Caenorhabditis elegans: one gene and its partners. The gene in region 1 interacts genetically with each later gene. Each region holds a gene or a part of one and is shown in the gene's direction. Other genes may lie near its edges. The genes, in order: lit-1, C50D2.1, lias-1 and mrps-18C.

Region 1 (5,497 bases):
GAATCTTCGAGGTATGTCTTCCTTCAAATTCGTTGGGTTTCCAATAGAAAATGTTCAATTTTTTATCACTTTCCTTTAACTTTTTCGTAATTTTTATTTGTTTTTTTTCACTTTCTTCTTCGCAGTTGCTTTTCCGCGTCCTTGTATAGTAGTCGTCAAAGCAGTCGGCGGCGTTCTATTTTTTTTTTGCTTGCTTGCTTTTGCTATGTCTCGTGTGTGCCCAATAACAACAACAACCACATATATAGCCGTCTTCTGGATATATATGTATGTGGGTGTGTGTGTGTTATGGCTTTTCTTCGAACTTTTTATTTCACTCGGAAACTTTCAAGATTTGTCTTTTCTGATGCTTTTTAGGATTCCAGGAATTTTATTCGTTCGAACTAGTAAGTATGAAGTTAGAGTTCACAGCAAATTTTCATCAAAATTCGGAAAAAAACTGGTTTTTATATCGTAGCCCTACAAAAATAGAGAAATAAAAAAATCGAAGGGTCAGATTCACCAGTGTTATTTTTCGATAATTTGTCAGAAAAATTTGGGAATTAGAAACTTTACGAAGTCTAGTGAGTTGCAAATTTTTAAGAATCAAATTTGCTAATTTTCCTTCTTATTTTCGGATCAAATTTTCATTTCATATGAAATATTTCATAAAAAACAAAAAATCAGATTTTGTAGATAGAGCCCACAATGTAAAGGAACTACAACATCTGTAGAACCGGATCTGTTAGATTTTTTCTTCGAGTTTTACAAAATTTCAGACTTCCCAAGTTTTTTGTTTGAGTTTTGGCTCAGAAATTTCGAACATAAAACTTGGAGAATCAGATTCCCGGCTTTTAGAGAAAGTTCCGATTAGGGGCACCACAAATTGAGAAAACAAACATTCTGGAGAATCAGAGTTTCGATTTTTTGTTGCCAAAAACGACATCCTTGCTCCAACTGTCAGCATGCCAAACAACAGACACCCCTGTTGAAAATTTTAAATTCCAAATGAAACGGGGATGGGGTACATCGTAGTAATAGTAGTAGTTGGTTCTTAGGGGAGCACATCTCTGCTTCTTCTTCTTCGCAGCTTTTCGGTCTTCTGCGTCCGTTTGAGTGGTCAGTCAGATGTATGAGAGTGCGTTCCGTATCTCTCTGCGTCTCCACACCCTTGACCACTCTCTACGCCGTCGTGCTCTCTGTGTCTCGCCCGACTATCTCGAATAGAAAGTGACCACTGCTACATAATATTCGAATTCGCGGGGGGGGGGGGGTCTGTCTACTGCTGCTGCTGCTGGGTGGCCGTTTTCCTTGCCACACACTCTCTCGTCTCTCTTGCTCTTTGTGCATCTCATAGTTTGCTACTCGCGATCAGCTGTAGTCAACGTTCTCATATATACAGTATGCTTTTTGTTGAAAGTTTTGCCATATTGCCACGGCAAATTTTTTGGTACTTTAGTGGTTTTTTATTTCAAATCACCACGAACTTTTATAATTTTCCTCGATATTTGCATTTCCTCATTTTTTGCCAATGAAATTGTAAATTTTTCGCATTATTCTGTATGCTAGCACTTGTTTTCCAGCTTTACTTTACTCCCTTGTCCTCTCCCCGCCCCCAAAAGTACCAGAATAAGGTGTTTCCAAATTAGTTGTCCTTATCTTTCGAGGAGCCTCGTTTTAGAAAATGTGTACTTTTCTGCTCAATTCCCGGACACTTTTTCCGGGAATTCAGAAAAAGTCTGAACCACTACTAATTCTAATGTGATATTCTGAAGTTAGTCTTCATAATGATATATGCTAGCAATTTATATAACTAATTTTTCACATGGCGCACACATATCCTCATATCAGAACATATCAGAAGTTCTTGTTATTTTCCCGTTCCCCAAAAGTAACAGAGTAATAAAAAATTTCGAAATCCCGAGGGACGGTCCTTGGGGAGGTCGGGGTCATCACCCTCAACGTACATGGTACCGGGGGCCTGGTGGCGACAGGTAGTGAGGTCTCTCTTCTCAGTCCTGTTAGCACACACACAGTGGAGGGGTGCGTGCGCGCTCGCTCACTCGCCTACAGATCCGAGATGAATCGTAGACGCGTATTGAGGAAGACGGTGTTGGGTGGTGATGGTGTCGTGGGGAAGGGGGAAGGATGCGTACTATCTCTATATTTCTCGAGAACAAGAAGAAGATGATGACGATTCACTTTCCTTCTACTCGTCTCAGAAAGACACGGAGGACGAATTCTGCGGGTGCCTTTTCCCCGAGTAAATTTTCACATGTTTACAAAAAATGTTCATTATGAGCCTCTGTATTGCTTAAATTTGTCAATCATAAAATATTTTAAATAGGCAGTTCTCCTGAAAATAATACATTGAAAAATTTCGTTATTAAACCATTTTTGGTTTTTTTGTTGGAAATTTTTTTGTTGGCTTGATAAATTTGGCACAATTTCGTTTTCCGAGAGGAGAACAACTTTTATTTCCTTCTTCATCTATTTCCTCCTTTTTTTCAGAATTCTCTAGAAAAAAAACAAAAAAAAAAGAAGGCGTCCTCTCTCGTCATGAATGAATAACACTAGTTCCGCCTCACTTTTTCATGTTCTTTTTTCTTCTTTCTTTTTTCTTTCTTTTTTTCAAGTCCAGAAATTCCAGGATCAAGCAGTTCATCCGGCTGTAGTTCGTCATCTACAGAGCTCTACGATCTTGCAGCTGCACACGCCGCACTTATATCCCGACAGCAACAGATTCTCAGTCAGGGTGTGTTTTTGTGGAAAAATTAAAACAAATTGAGTTTTACATGTCCGGAAATGTGTGTCTCGCCACGAACTTTGTGGAATTCGTTGGGAGACCCTATTGTTTTTTTTAATAAGCTAAGAAATTGAGATTTTCGCTCATTCATGTGAAAAAAATAACGCTCGCTAATCTTTGTATTAGAATTAGAGTTGATTTGCTTTTATAATCCAGTTCAATTTGTCTACAAATTTTCTTTTTAAACAATTAAACTAGTTTGGAAAATGGATAATTAATTTTTAAACCTAACCGTTGAATTATTGATCGAAAAATGAAAATTAATTAAAAGTACTGTAAACTTTAAAGGAGCATACCTTTAGTTTCGTACTGGGTTCCACCACGATTCGAGAAATCATACATTTTATAATATTTTCTCGATTTTCGTGCCTAAGATATCTTTTTTTAATATTTAATTGAAACAAATTTTTTATTTTAAAATGTTCATTCTAACCGAAATTTCCAAACCCCATTGTTTGCTCCCGAAACACGAATTTTCAAATAGTTCAGTACTGTAAGATTTAAAGGCGCCCAAACTGTCTCTTGCAGTAGGTCTCGTCACGATCGGAGAAATTCTAAAAAAGTTTTTGTTTTTTCGTTTCGAATTTTTGTTTTTCTGCTCAATTTCTTCGCTTTGTTAGCTAAAAAATGTGTAAAATTTATCATTAAAAAAAACAAAGTTTCAACAATTTTCAGTACCTCTTCATATAATTCACATGAAATTGTCTAATTTTTAGCCAATTTCAGAGGATTTTCCGAAAAACTCAATAATTAATCAAGAATTGTTTCAGCAATCCCAATAATACCGGAACACCAGCTGGCCGCCGTCGCCGCTCACCATCAACATCACCAGCAGCTTCACCCATCGGTACAGTACCAGCTCGTCGCTGCCGCCACCCATCACAATCATCATCAGCCGCAAGCGGCACAACCACACTATTCAGCAGTTGTGCCACGATCTGACGGTTTGTTAAATAATGTTTTAAACGTTGAAAATTGTTTTTTTTTTCAATAAAAAAGTAATGTTTTTTTTAATTTTTCAGTAATACAACAACCACCACACTTTGCTCTGCACCACCATCTTCAGAATTTGGTTCAACAGCAGCAGCAACAGCAGGCTCACCATCATCATCAGCAATTAGTTGGTGAGTCGACCGATTTTTTTTCACGAAAACAAAAAATTAAAAAATAATTACCGAAAATCCGGAAAAAAACATTAAAAAATGAACGGAACAATTTCCCTTTTTTTAAAAGTTAACTTATGAAATTTTTGAAAGATAAAAAAAAATATTGGGAAAAATTTTCAAGCCTCAAAAATCTGGTTTTTAAAACTAAAAACTAATTTTAACAATAGTTTCAAATTTTTCTGTAAAAACCAAAATTCCCAACAAAATTTTTTTGAATCATGATATTTGTAAAAATCTATTTTCTTGATTTGTTAACAAACTTTCGAACCATTTCCCTTTTTGTTTACTTTTTAATATCTCAAAGTTCACGTGTAGTTCTGTTAGCCGGTCTTTACAAATTTAATCAGTTGCTGCCTGTCAAAGTGCACAAGTCCTTCTACTACTTTATTTTCCATCTCCTCTACCGTAATGTCCTTGTCTCCCCTGAATGACCTACAAAGAACACACTCCGCTCTTTCTAGAAAAGACTGCTTTCTCTGTTAAAGCACATGTTTTTTGTTGTTGTTACTCTCCGTCATCAGCTTCGGGGTGTTTTTTTTATTCTGGAATTCTTAGAATTTTCTCAGTTCACCGTGACTCACTTCTCAGAACTACTACGATTTTCTAACAGAAATCTGAAAGACATTTATTGCGAAATATGATGACTAAAAAAGAGATCAAGTTCGGCTTTTTTGAGCCATTTTTTCCGAATAAACCCGTTTTTTTTAATGTTCTGAATTTTCTATCATTTCCAAAAAAAAATATTGTGAAAAAAATTTTTATGATGCTCTTACTCTTTGCCATTTAAATTGGAACACTAATTGTCAATTTTTCAGACATTTTTCCGCGTAGAAATAAAAATTGGCCTATAAATTGTTCGTTTAACAATTAATTACTTGATAGAAAAACGATTCTTCCTTTTAATTTTTTTTTGAATAACGGAAAATTATATATAAAAAATGCCTATTTTCTTTTCTGAAATTTAGTATGAAAACCAGTTAAACACTACTTAGTTAATCTTTATTCGATATATCTTTATCAATCTGAAATTCACTAACGATTCATTTATGACGCTCAAACATGTGAACTCCGTTGATCACATACACACAAATTCACGTTATGACGAACATAACACTAGATATGTCGAAAAACGCATATACACAGATTATATTGCTAGTGACGCAATTTTTGAGTGAAATGGAAAAAAGGGAGATAATGGCAACAGCGAATACGTAAAGGTGGAATTAATTAGATTTCAGCTCAGATCTAGAAATAAGTAGAGAGTATGTGCTTAGACTACATTTTGTGCTCCTTTGGACTATATTAATTCCGCTAAAATGGAATGTCCTACATTTTTAGTTTTTCGTCCTATTCATTTTTAAATTGATTTAGTCTATTTTTCTTTAATATTCCCCGACTTGGCCTAAAAAAGTTCTTCACAAGATTTCTCGCTCCACCTAGTGAGCTAGACTTCTCCCGTTCTTTTTCGTCAAATATATTTTCTGATCTCTACACACTCAAAATGGTCCGAATTTAAATTTTATCTACTTCTAGACACTTGTTTTTC
Region 2 (5,636 bases), on another chromosome or scaffold:
CTGGATACTTGGATTCATTACTGGGAAATGTTATTTCAAATTCAACAATTGCTCGCACTGGGCACTTGCATGAAGTAAGCCAGTAAATGTTTTTATAAAATTTTGAATTCGAAATTCCAGGCTTCATCATTTTTCGGCGATTACCCTGATCTTCTCGCTTTTCTACTCATCGTTCTTGTGGCATTTTTTGTTGCTCTTGGTTCAAAAGTGTCCACTAACTTCAACTCTTTCCTAACAATTCTCAATATTGGAATTGTTGTCATAGTCGTGTTCTATGGTATAACGTTTGCTGATTTCTCTCTATGGAGTGGAGTAGATGAGAAAGGGAATTCGAGATTCTTTCCGTATGGAGTATCTGGAATGTTTGCTGGAGCTGCATCTTGCTTTTTTGCATACATTGGATTTGACGGACTTGCAACTGCTGGAGAAGAAGCTAAAGATCCTGCACGGTGAGATTAAAATTTATGTGAACTGAGTATGTGAAATCTTAGGTAATTTATTTTAGATCAATTCCAATTGCCACATTCTCCTCTATGACAATTGTCACACTCTCCTATGTTCTGATGTCAGCTTCCCTGACATTGATGATTCCATACAATATGGTTCATCCAACTGCAGCATTTTCTGATGCATTCACGATGCGTGGAGCAGAATTTGCAAGCTATGCGGTCTCGGTCGGTGCTCTTTTTGGAATGACAACTAGTTTGGTTGGAGGAATGTTTGCTCTTCCGAGATGTGTATTCTCAATGGCTGATGATGGACTTTTGTTCAGCTCCTTGGCATCCGTAAACCCAAAAACTCAAGTTCCAACTCAAGCTCTTCTTATTTTTGGATTCCTCACTGCAATCATTGCATTGCTTTTCGATATTACCACTTTGGTAAGCTGAAATACGTTTTAATATACTTTAAACAAAATATTTCAAGGTTGAATTCTTATCAATTGGAACTCTTCTTGCGTATTCTATTGTTTCTGCCTGTGTAATCGTACTTCGCTACCAACCAGCATATAATGTTGATGAGGGCCAATTCGACAATGGAGGAAAACTTCGATTCAGCATTCCATTCTGTGGCTTCCTTGATAAACTTCAGCCAGGACACTCGATTTATTATGGGATGAGCGTAATGATTGCTTCAATGTTCTTCTCAGGCCTTGGATTCAGTTCTGGATATTTATATGGAACTGTTCTCTGCCAAATATTCTTGCTAGTCAATATTGCTCTGATAATTCTCTCATTCCTCTTTATCTGCGCTCATTACCCCAATAATACTCCACTGGATTTCAAGGTATGATTGATAATTTACGCAGGAGATTTTTATGTATAATGTAAATATTCCTTTCAGGTACCTCTCGTTCCTCTTATTCCTGCCCTTTCACTCTTAATCAACACTTTGATGATGGTTCATCTTGCTTGGATCACATGGCTCCGGTTAGTTGTTTGGATGAGCATTGGTTTTGTTATCTATTTTGGATATGGAATTCATCATAGTAAAGAAGAAGTACAAGACGCTGAAAAGTTCTCGAAGAGCTCCACGTATGAGTCCGTGGTGTCTGGAGTAGTGGCTGGAGCTGGAACGACGTCTCCGTGATTATACCTTCTAAACTCATCAGTTCTGTAAATAAACCGCAGTCTCCTTTTTATATTAATTTATGTTTTCTTTAAATATCAAATCTCTCCAAATGAACACTGGTTCCTCTCGTTTGTACGCATTTCCTGTCTGTGCTTCCTAGTATTTTAGTTACTTTCATTTCTTAGTATTTTTGTTTCCTTGTTAATAAAAAACTTGTAAAATCTCAGTTTTCTAAAACAACCATAGTTACGCAATTATCAAATACATATTCATTACCCTTTCTTATCACTAGCCGCCTCGCAATTTTGCCCGATTTTATGGAAAACGAGACAAAAGGATAAGCCTCGAGGCAAGGGACTGGGCGGCGGATGACGCGAGAAATCTCGTTTTTCGAGTTTCCACCTTTTTGATGATGAAGACGTAATCCGAATCAGAAGGAGACACTGGCATTTTTTATTCTCACCGGGACACACAATGAGGAGGAACCTCGTGGATATTTTCTACATTTCCTTACTAATATTTATATCTGGTTTGGTTTTTTGCACAGATGCTTCGGGTAAATATTCTTAATATTTTTACTGTCAAAAAGTGGCAATTAATCAGTTTTTTGCTACTCATAATTTTGGAAGTCGACCAAACATTTTTTTCCCTGCATTTTTTATACTGTAATTTTGTTTTAAATATTTGTATTAAAACATTGTAGGGGTCGGAAAGTGCGATATTGCTTTGGATTTCCTCAAAACCTCTTTTTTTTTTCAAAATTTTGGCAATTTGCAAAAAACTTGATATTTGGATGTTTTGGATTATTATAAGTATATTTAGACAAAATCCCCACTGGCGCTACTTCACCTTCAATACATATTTTTTTAAATTTATTCATTCATAAACTGTTGAACATAATTGTAAGAGCATAATTTGATAATCGCGGGGAACTTTAAATGCGCACTGCACCTCTTGAAATCATTTGGGAGTAAGTTTTCCAGTCCCTTTTAATTTTGTTTTTTGTTGCAAGATTTATCAAAATTCGTGTGAGCTATAATAATAATTCAACTGCCCGTAGTACGGCTAGATGAATCATCTCAAAATTGAAGTCGGAAAACTAATCGGAAAATTCAAGTATAGCCTGCCTTATCTGTTAGCTTTATCATTTATACCGGGACAATTTTCATAAAACGCAATTCCTTATCACCAAACATCTTTTTCAGTTATCAATCGAAGATTACGTCGAGACACAGAAGCGCCCATTGCGCGTGGTTTCAATCGAGAAATTCGGCGAAAACCGCCTGCAATTCTTCAATTAATCGGTCCGTTGGCATTTGGAAGAAAAGATGGAGACGATGCAAAAATGCACGTGCCAATGTTAGGCCAATTTGGCGTTGGAGATGTTAGTCAAATGACCGCAAAGTTTACTCCGGAAGGATCTCAAGGTCAAAAAGCGAATGGAGGAACATTTGATATTGATGATGAAAAGGGACCTCAGTTAGGATATATGGATCGAGAGACAACCATGGGAGAAAGATCGGGCAGCACTGGAAAAGTAAGATCATGTGTTTAACAGGATTTTCAGAGTTTTAAAGTTTCTAATTTCAGATGTCTTTTGGAGGTCTAGGAAACATTGAGATGGGAAATATAAACGAGCAAGGAACTGGGCTTCTAGACTTTTCAAAATCTCGTAAGTCAAGTCAATTGTTTGAAATATATAATTACAACATTTTCAAGTTTTCCCGTTTCTACAACTTCCTGCTCTCAAAAACGAAACCGAAAACGTGAAAGAAGAACATACACAAGTTGATCAAACTTATACCGACTATTACTATCCGAAACCCAGATCTTACTTGGGATCTTCTTACGATATTAATCGCCCTCAAGTAGGCGCAGCAGAGTCATTAGTGTCGCTTGGAAAAAACCGAGAGGACATTGAGTTCCCGAAGCTAGTAACTCAAGAGCCACCGAAGAAGTACAGTAACCCATTTGACAGTGTTCAAATTCGTCCGAGAATTCACGCGGCTGTTACGAAGACAGTAGATGATAAAGATTTAAATTCAAAGGAAGGATTTATTGCTCAAAACGGAAAGCAAGTGGACCCGGATGAAGATACAGCGCCGCTTTTGACTGCTGAGCACAAAGTGTCGCAAGTGACAACTAGAAAGTCTATCCATGAAGTTGGTCTGTCCGTTAAAGAAATTTACGCACTTTGTGCAAAATTTGCACCAATGGCAAATCAGGTAAATGATAGAACACAATCAATTTTTACCACAAATTAAATTTTGTTTCAGCATTGCTACAAAAGTAAAGTCGAAGAACAATTCATTGAAAGATGCAGAGGATATCAAAAAGATTGCGTTGAATTTATAGCAAAAGTCAGTTGATTTGACAGATTTCTTAAAAATTATTCAACAATGTTAATTGTATAGGCTCGCCCACTTGGAGCAATTGCCAATTCTTTCTCTTCTGGAGTTGGTCTTACGTACTACGACTGGAATGTCAACGGAATCCCGTACTACCCTGTAAACGAGGAAGGTTCCATTGGAAACGGCCATCATGGAAAAGTAGATTTTGGAACGTGGGGAGGAGGATATTCTGATAATCTTGGTGTAAGAGATTTCTGGTCTCAAACCCAAGAATATGGAGCTAACTGGTACGAAGGTAGGATTTTACGGCTCAAAAAATTTTTTTATAATTTTAAGTTTTTTAACGATTTCAGGCCAGTATGGATACAAAACTGGATGGAGTATTCCAATTGTGCAGGGAATTGGAGTTGAAGGAGGTCAAGGAACGCAAGTCTCAGTGCCAATCAAAGAAGGAGAGCTCGGAAGACCGATTTCAGTGACTAATGGGTACCACGTCGGGCCATTTATGGGATTAGCAGATAGAGTTGGAGTTGATTGGCTCAACGGGGGAGTCTCGTGGAATAAGGTATGCAAAATCTTGGTAATTACAAAAACGCAGGGTTGTTTTCAGGGTTTCGCTGTCCCATTCGTTGGAGTTGGTGTGAATACCGGAACAGCTGTTGGGTTCCCTAGTGTCGGAATGATAATGAACAGGATGGGTATGGACGGAGTAGAAACTCTGAATAACATGGCAAGAGCAGCGGCTGCCCAGACGGCACAAGTGGCAGAACATAGATCTACCTCCATTGACATTGGAAATCTGTATCAATAATCTATCTTTAATCATTGAATTTCTGGAATCTCGTGCAATGTTTTCAACTAATAATTATTGTAAATAAAGTTTATAATATTAAAATCAGGTGAATTAAGCCAATTCCCTTCTTGCATGAGCCATTGCAATCTGTAGACAATGAAGCCATTCCTCCGCATTTTTTTCATCTTTGGCTTTCAGAATCATTGATGTATTGTCAGCTGTGAAAATTTCAAATGCCTTTCTTAGACTCTTTCTAGCTTTCTTTCCACGACCGAGCGATCTGACAGATCGGATAGAACGAAGATCGATTGAGGGAAGGAGTGCTCGGGAATCAGTCTGAAAAGTGACAGAAATGATGTATCAAAATTTCCGATTCCGGAAAAAAACGTACCGGCATATGTTGTGTGCTATAATTCAATGCAGCCGATGACAAGGTAAAGTATTTGGTGTTCCATCGTTTCAAAAACCTCCATCGCCCTTTTTTCTCTTTCAACTGTCCTTCCAATACTTTTTCGGCGCCTCCTTCTTCAACAAAGTATTTCACTTTTTCAGGATTCGTACAACTAATGCAATTCCACATATTATTCGTAGAGTCCATTGTAAAACAAGCGAAAAATCCAGCTTCGTCAAGTTCCTTAATCAGCTTGTTCTGGTCTTTTGAGTTTGGAAAAGCTGCAGTGATCATTGTATCAAAGGGAACACTTTTTGTTATAGAACTCGGTAAACACTTCCAACAATGTTCAAGCGTTTGGTACTGCTGTGAGTCCTTTCCGACAACTTCACCGAATTGGGTTATTGCCGAACATTCCATTTGCAGAAACATGAAATGAAGCCAAAATGCTGGATATTTAGTTTTAAATGCAAATAGGTATTCCTTGGTGAATACACAACATGGCGAAGAACGAGTTTGACACGAGAAGTGA
Region 3 (4,209 bases), about 10 Mb from region 1:
AAATTTTTTTAATTAAATAAAAAAATTTGGAAAAAAGTTCCAGCAGTAAATCAGGAGCCACGCGGTGATGTCTGGACTCAATTGAAGGGGGTCACTGATTTGACAGCACTGAAAGACGAGCTAACACTGATTGTCAAGGAGAATTTGGACACTCTTATGGGGGTTTGAAGGCTTTTTTCTCAATTAAAAAAACTAATTTTAATTTTAAAAAAATTTCAGATCGCCCAATCTATTGGAGCAATTCTTGCCGTAAATGTGTCAATCTTCTCTTCACTTTTGGTCTCTCTCGCCGGAATTATTTTAAGCTTTGGAATGGATTTGCTCAACACATTTATCGAGATGGTACTGAATAATTTCTCTAGATTATTTGAAAATCGATATAAAGTGAATTTCAGATTGTCTTCCTTACAATGGTATATTATCTTCTCTCGGCTTCTCGTACTCGCTGGCTTCCTCTTCAATGGGCTTCTGATCTCTCAGCAGTCACTACAGCCGATGGCTCGTCAGCAGGAAATCAGCATCATATTACTGTAGCGATAGAACATGCGATTTTGTACGTTTTTAGGCTTAAAAATTTAGAAAATCGACTGTAAAGTCCTGAAAAATAGCTTTTTTACGAACAATTTAAATAATTAAATTTTAGGTTAATCTCTGGGTTTTATCGAATTTTCCGTAGAAAAACCTCCAAAATTGGCCTATTTTCCATGTTTTTGGGGAAAAATTTCAGAAAATTCGGCAAAAATAGTCCCATTTGTATGGGAAAAATGAAGTAATGACTTTGCCCGGGTTTGTTGGAAAATTGAAAAATCCATACATTTTGAGTAGTTTCGCCCCATTTTCTATATTTTAATGGGAATTATTATTTAAAAGTTAATTAAAAAATCCTTTTTTCAGCGGAGTATTCGTTCTTTCTGCAAAAATGGCTGTTTTCTACGGTCTCTACACTTATTTTGTGCACAGTCTTTTCGATTTGAACATTGTATTTGTTCCATCAAGTGAGTTGATTTTAAAATTTAATTAATTTTACTAAGTCCCATTTTTCCAGTGGCTGCCACAGTATTCGCTGCTATTCCAATTATGCCTCCCTACATCGTCGCAATCTTCGGAATCGTCGAACTCTGGCTGGTTCGAGGAGAAGGAGCAGCTGCTCTTGTATTCACAGTCGCTTCATTTGCTCCTGTAATGTTCGCAGATGCTACTTTTTACCGGGAAGTTAAGGGATCTCATCCATATGTGACCGGTTTGGCTATCATTGGTGGAATGTACTGGTTGGGATTGCAGGTTTGTGTATTTAACTTCTTCTACTAAAAAAGTACCTCATTTAAATATATTTTCAGGGCGCAATCATAGGACCAATTGTTCTCTGCCTTTGCCTCGTACTTGTCAACGTTTATCTCCAGCACGTGAAGCCAACAGCTCTGTACACCCCAGCTCCGTCTCCACGAAATGTGAAGCTGCATAATCATTGATTATATTAATCAAAAATATTTTTCGCATTCTTTAGACACTGCCTTTAGTTTGTTTGACCCCTGTATTTTACAAATTTCGGTTCTTGCCATTCCTGGTGAACTTTTGTCTCATAATAAACATGTATTTTTTTTCGGATTTCTGTTTATTTTGCTCATTATGGTAACGTGAAAGCCAATTTAAACTATTTTTCCGTTTCAAAAGCGTTTTATCCTTTTTAGAACTCTAGTTATGATCAAAATCACGAATAAACCACGTAAAAAGTCAAAAGGGACCTCACTATTAAGGTTTTTATGAAAATTCCCAAGATTCTGCTGGAAAAATGAGTTAAATTTGATTGTTGAAGTGAAAAAAAATGTTGCGAATGGCCTTGCGGACTACGGTGGATTTTTCTGTGCATACACCGTCACGTCTGATTGCGTATCGTGGCGAGACCCATCGAACCTCAACGCATGGCTTTTTCCGCTATCCTAAAATTTTTTCACGATTTTCGCCTGATTTTTCACGTTTTTGCGCGATTTTTTGCATAAAATTGATTGAATTTTTAATTTTTAAACGATTAATAGTGCTAATTATCGATTGTAGTTCTTATTCTGCGAGATTTGTCAGAAACTAGGTAGGAAAAGTGGAAAAATGTTCCCAAAATCCAAATTTGTCTATTTCTCAACCAGAATTTCAGTTGTAGGGGGTCCCTCTTGATTTTCAACACAAGGAGTTTAATTATTACCGGTAGATTGTTTAAGCATGCTAGCTCGGGTATGGGTCCGTGGACTTGCAGCCACAAAGAAAAAACCGCAAGTTCTCGTCAAAGATGGACCATCGCTTCAGGATTTTATTTCATCAGGTAAAACTCAAACAATATTGTTTCATAATCAAATAATTATTAATTTTAGCATCCGTGGCAGAGGCTGTTGAGAAGTACGAAGGAAAACTGAAGCTGGAGAAAGGGGACAGACGTTTGCGACTTCCACCATGGCTCAAGAAAGAAAAGGTATAGCCTATCAATTTTTTGCCCCTCATCACAATTGTTTTCAGATTCTTCCATCGGAAAACGAAAATGTCAGTCGTCTAAAAAAGCAGTTGAAACATCTCAAACTAGCGACTGTTTGTCAGGAAGCACGGTGCCCAAATCTTGGAGAATGCTGGGGAGGATCAGATGACAGTCTAGCAACAGCGACAATCATGTTGATGGGAGATACCTGCACTCGGGGTTGTAAATTCTGTTCGGTCAAAACTGCTCGAGCTCCTCCACCATTGGATCCTATGGAACCGGAAAATACGTCGACCGCCGTTGCTTCATGGGGTGTCGAATACATTGTTTTAACATCAGTTGACAGGTAACTTATTCGTATCTTGAGCTTTTAATCAAAGTAATTTTCAGGGATGATTTGCCAGACGGTGGAGCCGATCATCTTCGCAAGACAGTACAGCTGATGAAGCTCAAGAAGCCTGAACTTCTCATCGAATGCTTATTGCCCGATTTCGCTGGAGATAAGATCAGTGTGGAGAAAATGGCTACCAGTGGACTCGATGTATATGCACATAACATTGAAACGGTTGAAAGACTGACTCCATGGGTCAGAGATCCACGAGCTAAATATCGGCAGTCTTTGGACGGTAAGCAGCTTTTTTTTTTTTCAGAATCTCGTAAATATTATTGAATATTTTTTAAGCTCTTCGATACGCAAAGGAAGTCAGCCCAAAGCTAATCACGAAGACATCGATTATGCTAGGACTGGGCGAAGCTGAAGACGAGATAAAGCAGTGCTTGGCCGATCTTCGAGCTAGCAATGTTGACGTTGTCACTTTCGGTCAATACATGCAGCCGACAAAACGTCATTTGCTTGTCAAAGAATGGGTGACCCCCGAGAAATTCGACCAGTGGGCAGAATATTCGAAAAAACTGGGATTCCTTTACGTTGCATCTGGCCCTCTTGTTCGCTCTTCGTACAAAGCCGGAGAATTCTATTTGAAAAATGTGTTGAGAAATAGACAAAATTAAGATTACTGAAATATGTAAATATTAGAAGAATTTGTGCGGGATTCTTGCCAAATAAATTCTCGAAATAGTTTTCATATATTTATTGTTATGCGCGTTCTCTCGCTTCGATTTATCTCTCTTCCTTTACTCTCGTGTATTTCTAAACTTTCCCCTTCTTATCAGTATTTATTTCAGGGTAAACGATGGGTCTGTCGAACAGAGCAATCATCATTGACGGAAAGAACCACCTTCTCGGTCGGTTGGCTTCCATCGTTGCAAAGAAGCTTCTCCAAGGAGACAAGGTTGTCGTCCTCAGAGCTGAAGAGATCGTCATCTCCGGAAACTTCCACCGTTCCAAGCTGAAGTACATGAGCTTCCTCCGCAAGCGTTGTAACATCAACCCAGCCCGTGGAGCCTTCCATTACCGTGCTCCAGGAAAGATCTTCTGGCGTACCGTCAGAGGTGAGTGATTTTAAACATTATCTGTACTTAAATTAATAAATTCTCTATTCAGGAATGCTCCCACACAAGACCAACCGCGGAAACGAGGCTCTCAAGAACCTCCGCGCCTACGAAGGAGTTCCAGCCAAATACCAGAAGACCAAGTCTCTCCATGCCCCATCAGCCAGCAGATTCCGACTTCAACCAAGAAGAAAGTTCTGCGTCGGTGAGTTATTATAATTTTTTTGATCACAACGATTATTTAATTTTCAGTTGGACGCTTATCGCACGAGGTCGGATGGCAATTCCAGGATGTTGTT
Region 4 (4,321 bases), 8.8 Mb from region 1:
CATACACAGGGACCACGTTACAAGAAAAAAAACGCAAAAAACGAAAAAAAATATTGAAAAGTATTCAAGAAATATTGTGGCTTCTACACTTCCAGAAACATGATGATTTCTTGGAATCAACGAGTCGCCTCACAATTAAGAACTTTTCATGCCATTTTGATGAACATCAGCGGCTTAAATTGCTGCGTAACAACGATTTATCATTAATATGTAATTATCAAATCGGATCAGAAAATACTCCAATTTTTAACCAAAGAAGCACGGATTGTATGCTTAGACCCGTATTTATAGGTTGGTTACTTTCATATTTAGATGTTTTTAACTTTGAATAATTCGTTTCAGATGGCTTATCATTCATGGACATGCTAATTCCGATCTCATCGTCGCTTCCAATAATTTCCACGAGATCTCTACTTGAAATACTTTTAAATTTCATTCTAGACGGGTGCCAAACTGTAATATACTTGCCAGATTATTATAACGATACAACTAACCAAAAAGTCGATGACTCGACTATTTTTCAATTCTTGTGCAATTCAAAACTTATACAGTTTGTTGACGGGCGGAGTCGGAGGGCTGTGGAACGACAAGTATTGCTTGAAGCTGAAAAGGTTATTCTTTTAGTTTCAAAATTCGTTAATTTGAAAATAAATTTTAGGTCCATGGAGTCTTTGTTTCCTCAGCGGAAGAGTTTCTAACCCGAAACGCTATTCAATGCTTTCCAGTGATTAATCGTTATTCTAAAAGACTTGATGAATTTCTAATTTGCACAGTATTCCTAGTCAATAATCTTCCGAAAAAAATACTCGCACAAGATTTCGTTGAAGAATCTAGAGTTTTGAAACCTGAAGGGAGTTCTTCAGCCGTATCAAGCACAACTGTCCTAGAAGAATCACATCAAAAAATCAGTGGAGCTATGGAAGACTCTGAGGATGAACCTGCTGATCCACAAACGTTGAAACAAGAATATTTGATTAAAGAGGAATGTTCTGAAATATCAGAAGATTCTGAAGAAGGAGCTATCGTCGATGTTGCTTCCAGCTCAGGCGACTTATCCGAAAACGTAGGTGCAATCTAAATTTTGTAAAGTCTAAATTTTTTCAGCGTGATCAGAAATCTGAAAACGAAGAATTTGAATATTCCCCGCATCAGTTAACTCTTGAGCAACAAACATATTTGGTTATTTTTTCCAGTTTTCCGTTCAGATTGATTTATCATCAATATTTCAGATTTCCTCTATGGCGCAACTCTCTATTTTCCATTTCCAACGCTATCGCCAAATAAGAGTATTCCTTATGATTATAAAACGTTACGTGCCAGAACTTTTACCTAGTTTTATGCAAAAAACTCGCATGGATGATGTTGCTATGGCAATTCAAGACATTCAGAACGGGAAGGACCTTCTTTATTGGCCTATTTTCTCAAAAATTGATAATTAATATGTTCAATAAAAATATTTTCGCATTTCTTTGGTTTTAAACTTTTATTTTAAAAATTCTTGGTAATATATACCCTGAAAATTGTATTTTAAACAAACAATTGCATTTTTTGTTTGAAAAATTTTATTTGAATTTTCTGGCAACAACACTCCGAAATTCCGTATGCGCGTGTTGTTTAGCCGCATACGAAACACCCAGTTTCTCAGGAGCATTGATTAAAGTCGGGCTAAAGTAAAGTTAGCAAGCTTCTTTTGAATTTGAAGTTCGTCTTTTAGTTATAATTTCATTTTAAGTAATATGCCTAACCTTCGAATTATTTGTTCTTCTCGATTTATTCGTTAGTTCCTCTGTTCTCAGTATCTTCCCGTCAGATTATCATTACCGACTTTTTTATTCCCATTTTTCATTACTTAGCAGAATCAATCACTTCATTTGGCTGAATAGCTACTATTTTAACACAAGTTTCTTTGATGCTTGTCAGAAGTGTTATTCATTCAAGGTATAAAGCTATAATTAGCTATGCCATCATTTTATATTTCGTCCAGCTCTCGTATCTCGCATTTTTATTTCCATGCGGAGTTTCTGATGATATTTTCTTCATTTTTATTCTAGAATTTCATGATCAATTATATCTCACTAATATTTAATCTTAATTACAGATGCTCCGTTCACTGGTATCCAGTGTGACGACGGGTCCGACTCCAGAATGGGCCGGGAGAATTCTAATGGCCTTCAGTGGACATATCAGTCAGCAGAGAGGTCGCAGAAGAACATTGACCCCAGCTCCATGGCTTCCGCCAGTCAAAGAGAGTGTGCCGAAAAGCAGTGTGGGTATTAGCCAGGGGACAAAGTAAGTTGCATTAATTCTTACCTGTTTAGCAAACGTTTTTGTTCAGAAATCTGCTTGAAACCGTAATTGAGAAAGAAACTCTTGCGGCGTCCACCATTGCATTTCAAAATTCTCAAGAAACCAATGTCTCAGTTGTTGACATTCCAGATTCATCAAGACGTGTGGGTCTGGTTGTCCGCAAAATCGGAATGCTCCCACAATGGACAAATGAAGGAAACCGAATTCTGTGCACTGTGCTTGAAGTTGATGAAAATCATGTTGTCAGTATTACATCACCAGAGGCTTGGTATAAATCGTCAGCCGTCGGAAAAAGAAAGGCTTTCAATCGTCACGGTCCTATGTGGAGAGTTACAGTGGGTGCCGGAAATGATGATCCAACAAAATACACGCTTGGGTACCGTAGGCAATTTGTTCGCGCAGGAATTCCAGTGAAAGGTTGGGTTTTTTTTGTGTTTTGCTCCGCTTTTCGATAGTCCTTCACCGTAAATTCATGGTTAAAAAAATAAATTCAGAGAAACTCGGATGTTTCCTGGTAACAGAAGACGCTCTCCCCAGTGCTGGACAGCCACTTGATGCCCGTCACTTCGGAGTTGGTCAATATGTAACTGCTACTGGAAAAACTATTGACTGGGGATTCCAGGTAATTTTTTTCAATTTACAATAGTCTAAAACTTCCAAAATTTCCCTTGCAAGCCAAGGAGCAAAATAATCTCTCAACCCTTGCGAAATATTTTCGAAACTAGTCGTTTTCAGGGTGGAATGCATCGATGGGGAATGCGTGGACAACCGACAAGACGTACCACAAAATCACATCGTAGAATTGGTTCCGTTGGTTCAGTCGGCGATGCTCGAATTTGGCCAGGAAAACGTATGCCGGGACATATGGGTTATGAGTGGAGGACTGTTTCTGGTTTGGAAGTAAGAAATTGCTCTCGATTTTAATTTTCAATTCATTTATTTAAGATTGTTCGAATCAATGTAGATAAACAAGTAATTTATGTGAAAGGAAGTGTACCTGGTGATATTGGAGAAACAATTCTACTTAAAGATTGCTTACAAGAAGAAAAACGTCTGAAATCCGGCCCAATGCCAACATGGGCTCCATCACTAGAAACCATCGAAGAAGAACCGGAGACAGAACCCGAAGAAGGCACAATTCCCAAAAATCTTCTTTTCAACGAAAAATTCTCGCCCAAACTGTTCCGTTTCACATCTCCATCCATTTTATTCACTGATGCCGACGCCAAGAAGGCCACTGGAAGAGATAAAACGAAAGCTAAGATTGCAAAAGTTAAAAAGTAATGGTGTATCTAATTTTATGATATATTACGGTTTTCCTTTATCGTTTTTTGTCGAAATTCGGTTTATTAGAATTTTTGTTCCGTAGATTTATAGATTTTTCATTGTTTTGCATTGTTTTTGTTTGTTCTGAATACCAAAAAGCAGAGTTTATATTCAATTATTTGTTGATTTTTTTCCAAACCGGTCGTTTACCGAGATTTACTTTATTTCTTAACATTATGCATTCTGAAACTTGGATTCTCAATTTGAAGCGAATGACAAGACTGTGGTGAGCTGGTTAATCGAGAAGTATGGCTGAAAACGACGGGGAAACGATTGTTCCAGACGAACAGTGCAATTTGACGGCCTCAACGCCTATGAAAAGTAGTGGGTTGGAAGTGAGTTGCTTTCTTTTTTCAAAATACTGTTTTTGAAACTTGAATTTTTCAAACTTCAAAGCTAGACAATATTTTTAAAAAATTGTTTATGAAAACAAGCTATAAAATAATAAAAAAGGGAAATATATTAAATTTTCAGCAAGTGGAAAGCCCGAAAGAACGAAAAACTTCAATGGTGGAATGTGATGACGAAGGGAATCCATCATCAGGAACCCCAGATGAATCACCAAAACAATTGACTCCGCATAGCATTCCCCCAAGACGACGACGTTCTCCACGACGCCCGGAAGTGTCAGCTTCTAGACTTCCTCTGAAAGTACTGAATCAGATTTTTCAGTATTTACCATTGAAAG

The links.
Region 2: of lit-1 (region 1) and C50D2.1, a change in one rescues a mutant of the other (synthetic rescue), as found in Caenorhabditis elegans (one study listed by BioGRID).
Region 3: of lit-1 (region 1) and lias-1, a change in one rescues a mutant of the other (synthetic rescue), as found in Caenorhabditis elegans (one study listed by BioGRID).
Region 4: of lit-1 (region 1) and mrps-18C, a change in one rescues a mutant of the other (synthetic rescue), as found in Caenorhabditis elegans (one study listed by BioGRID).

The regions. Positions count from the first base shown.
Region 1 is NC_003281.10:13,711,943-13,717,439, forward strand, and holds the start of lit-1 (Serine/threonine kinase NLK), read left to right. Parts: upstream 1-2,102; coding exon 2,103-2,242; intron 2,243-2,615; coding exon 2,616-2,734; intron 2,735-3,555; coding exon 3,556-3,729; intron 3,730-3,807; coding exon 3,808-3,909; intron 3,910-5,497. UniProt on the Caenorhabditis elegans protein: Has a role in the Wnt signaling pathway controlling the asymmetry of cell divisions during embryogenesis. Operates in the AB and EMS cell lineages influencing cell specification.
Region 2 is NC_003280.10:109,644-115,279, forward strand, and holds C50D2.1 (Peptidase S1 domain-containing protein), read left to right. Parts: upstream 1-1,923; 5' UTR 1,924-2,043; coding exon 2,044-2,125; intron 2,126-2,774; coding exon 2,775-3,106; intron 3,107-3,159; coding exon 3,160-3,241; intron 3,242-3,288; coding exon 3,289-3,794; intron 3,795-3,845; coding exon 3,846-3,929; intron 3,930-3,983; coding exon 3,984-4,215; intron 4,216-4,273; coding exon 4,274-4,485; intron 4,486-4,530; coding exon 4,531-4,731; 3' UTR 4,732-4,817; downstream 4,818-5,636. Other genes in the region: C50D2.2 (Cationic amino acid transporter C-terminal domain-containing protein), read left to right, coding at 1-74, 121-449, 506-878, 925-1,284, 1,342-1,587; K10B4.3 (Protein melted homolog), read right to left, coding at 4,825-5,049, 5,105-5,636.
Region 3 is NC_003281.10:3,503,039-3,507,247, reverse strand, and holds lias-1 (Lipoyl synthase, mitochondrial), read left to right. Parts: upstream 1-2,210; 5' UTR 2,211-2,211; coding exon 2,212-2,311; intron 2,312-2,360; coding exon 2,361-2,458; intron 2,459-2,502; coding exon 2,503-2,804; intron 2,805-2,848; coding exon 2,849-3,084; intron 3,085-3,140; coding exon 3,141-3,469; 3' UTR 3,470-3,538; downstream 3,539-4,209. Other genes in the region: M01F1.4 (Transmembrane protein 245), read left to right, coding at 44-162, 220-342, 396-553, 895-995, 1,046-1,281, 1,338-1,469; rpl-13A (Large ribosomal subunit protein uL13), read left to right, coding at 3,652-3,910, 3,963-4,115, 4,163-4,209. UniProt on the Caenorhabditis elegans protein: Catalyzes the radical-mediated insertion of two sulfur atoms into the C-6 and C-8 positions of the octanoyl moiety bound to the lipoyl domains of lipoate-dependent enzymes, thereby converting the octanoylated domains into lipoylated derivatives.
Region 4 is NC_003281.10:4,933,480-4,937,800, forward strand, and holds mrps-18C (Large ribosomal subunit protein uL3m), read left to right. Parts: upstream 1-2,098; coding exon 2,099-2,289; intron 2,290-2,335; coding exon 2,336-2,724; intron 2,725-2,801; coding exon 2,802-2,929; intron 2,930-3,042; coding exon 3,043-3,207; intron 3,208-3,252; coding exon 3,253-3,591; 3' UTR 3,592-3,742; downstream 3,743-4,321. Other genes in the region: eri-9 (Zc3h12a-like Ribonuclease NYN domain-containing protein), read left to right, coding at 1-291, 343-611, 659-1,063, 1,105-1,179, 1,230-1,439; fsn-1 (F-box/SPRY domain-containing protein 1), read left to right, coding at 3,882-3,968, 4,108-4,321.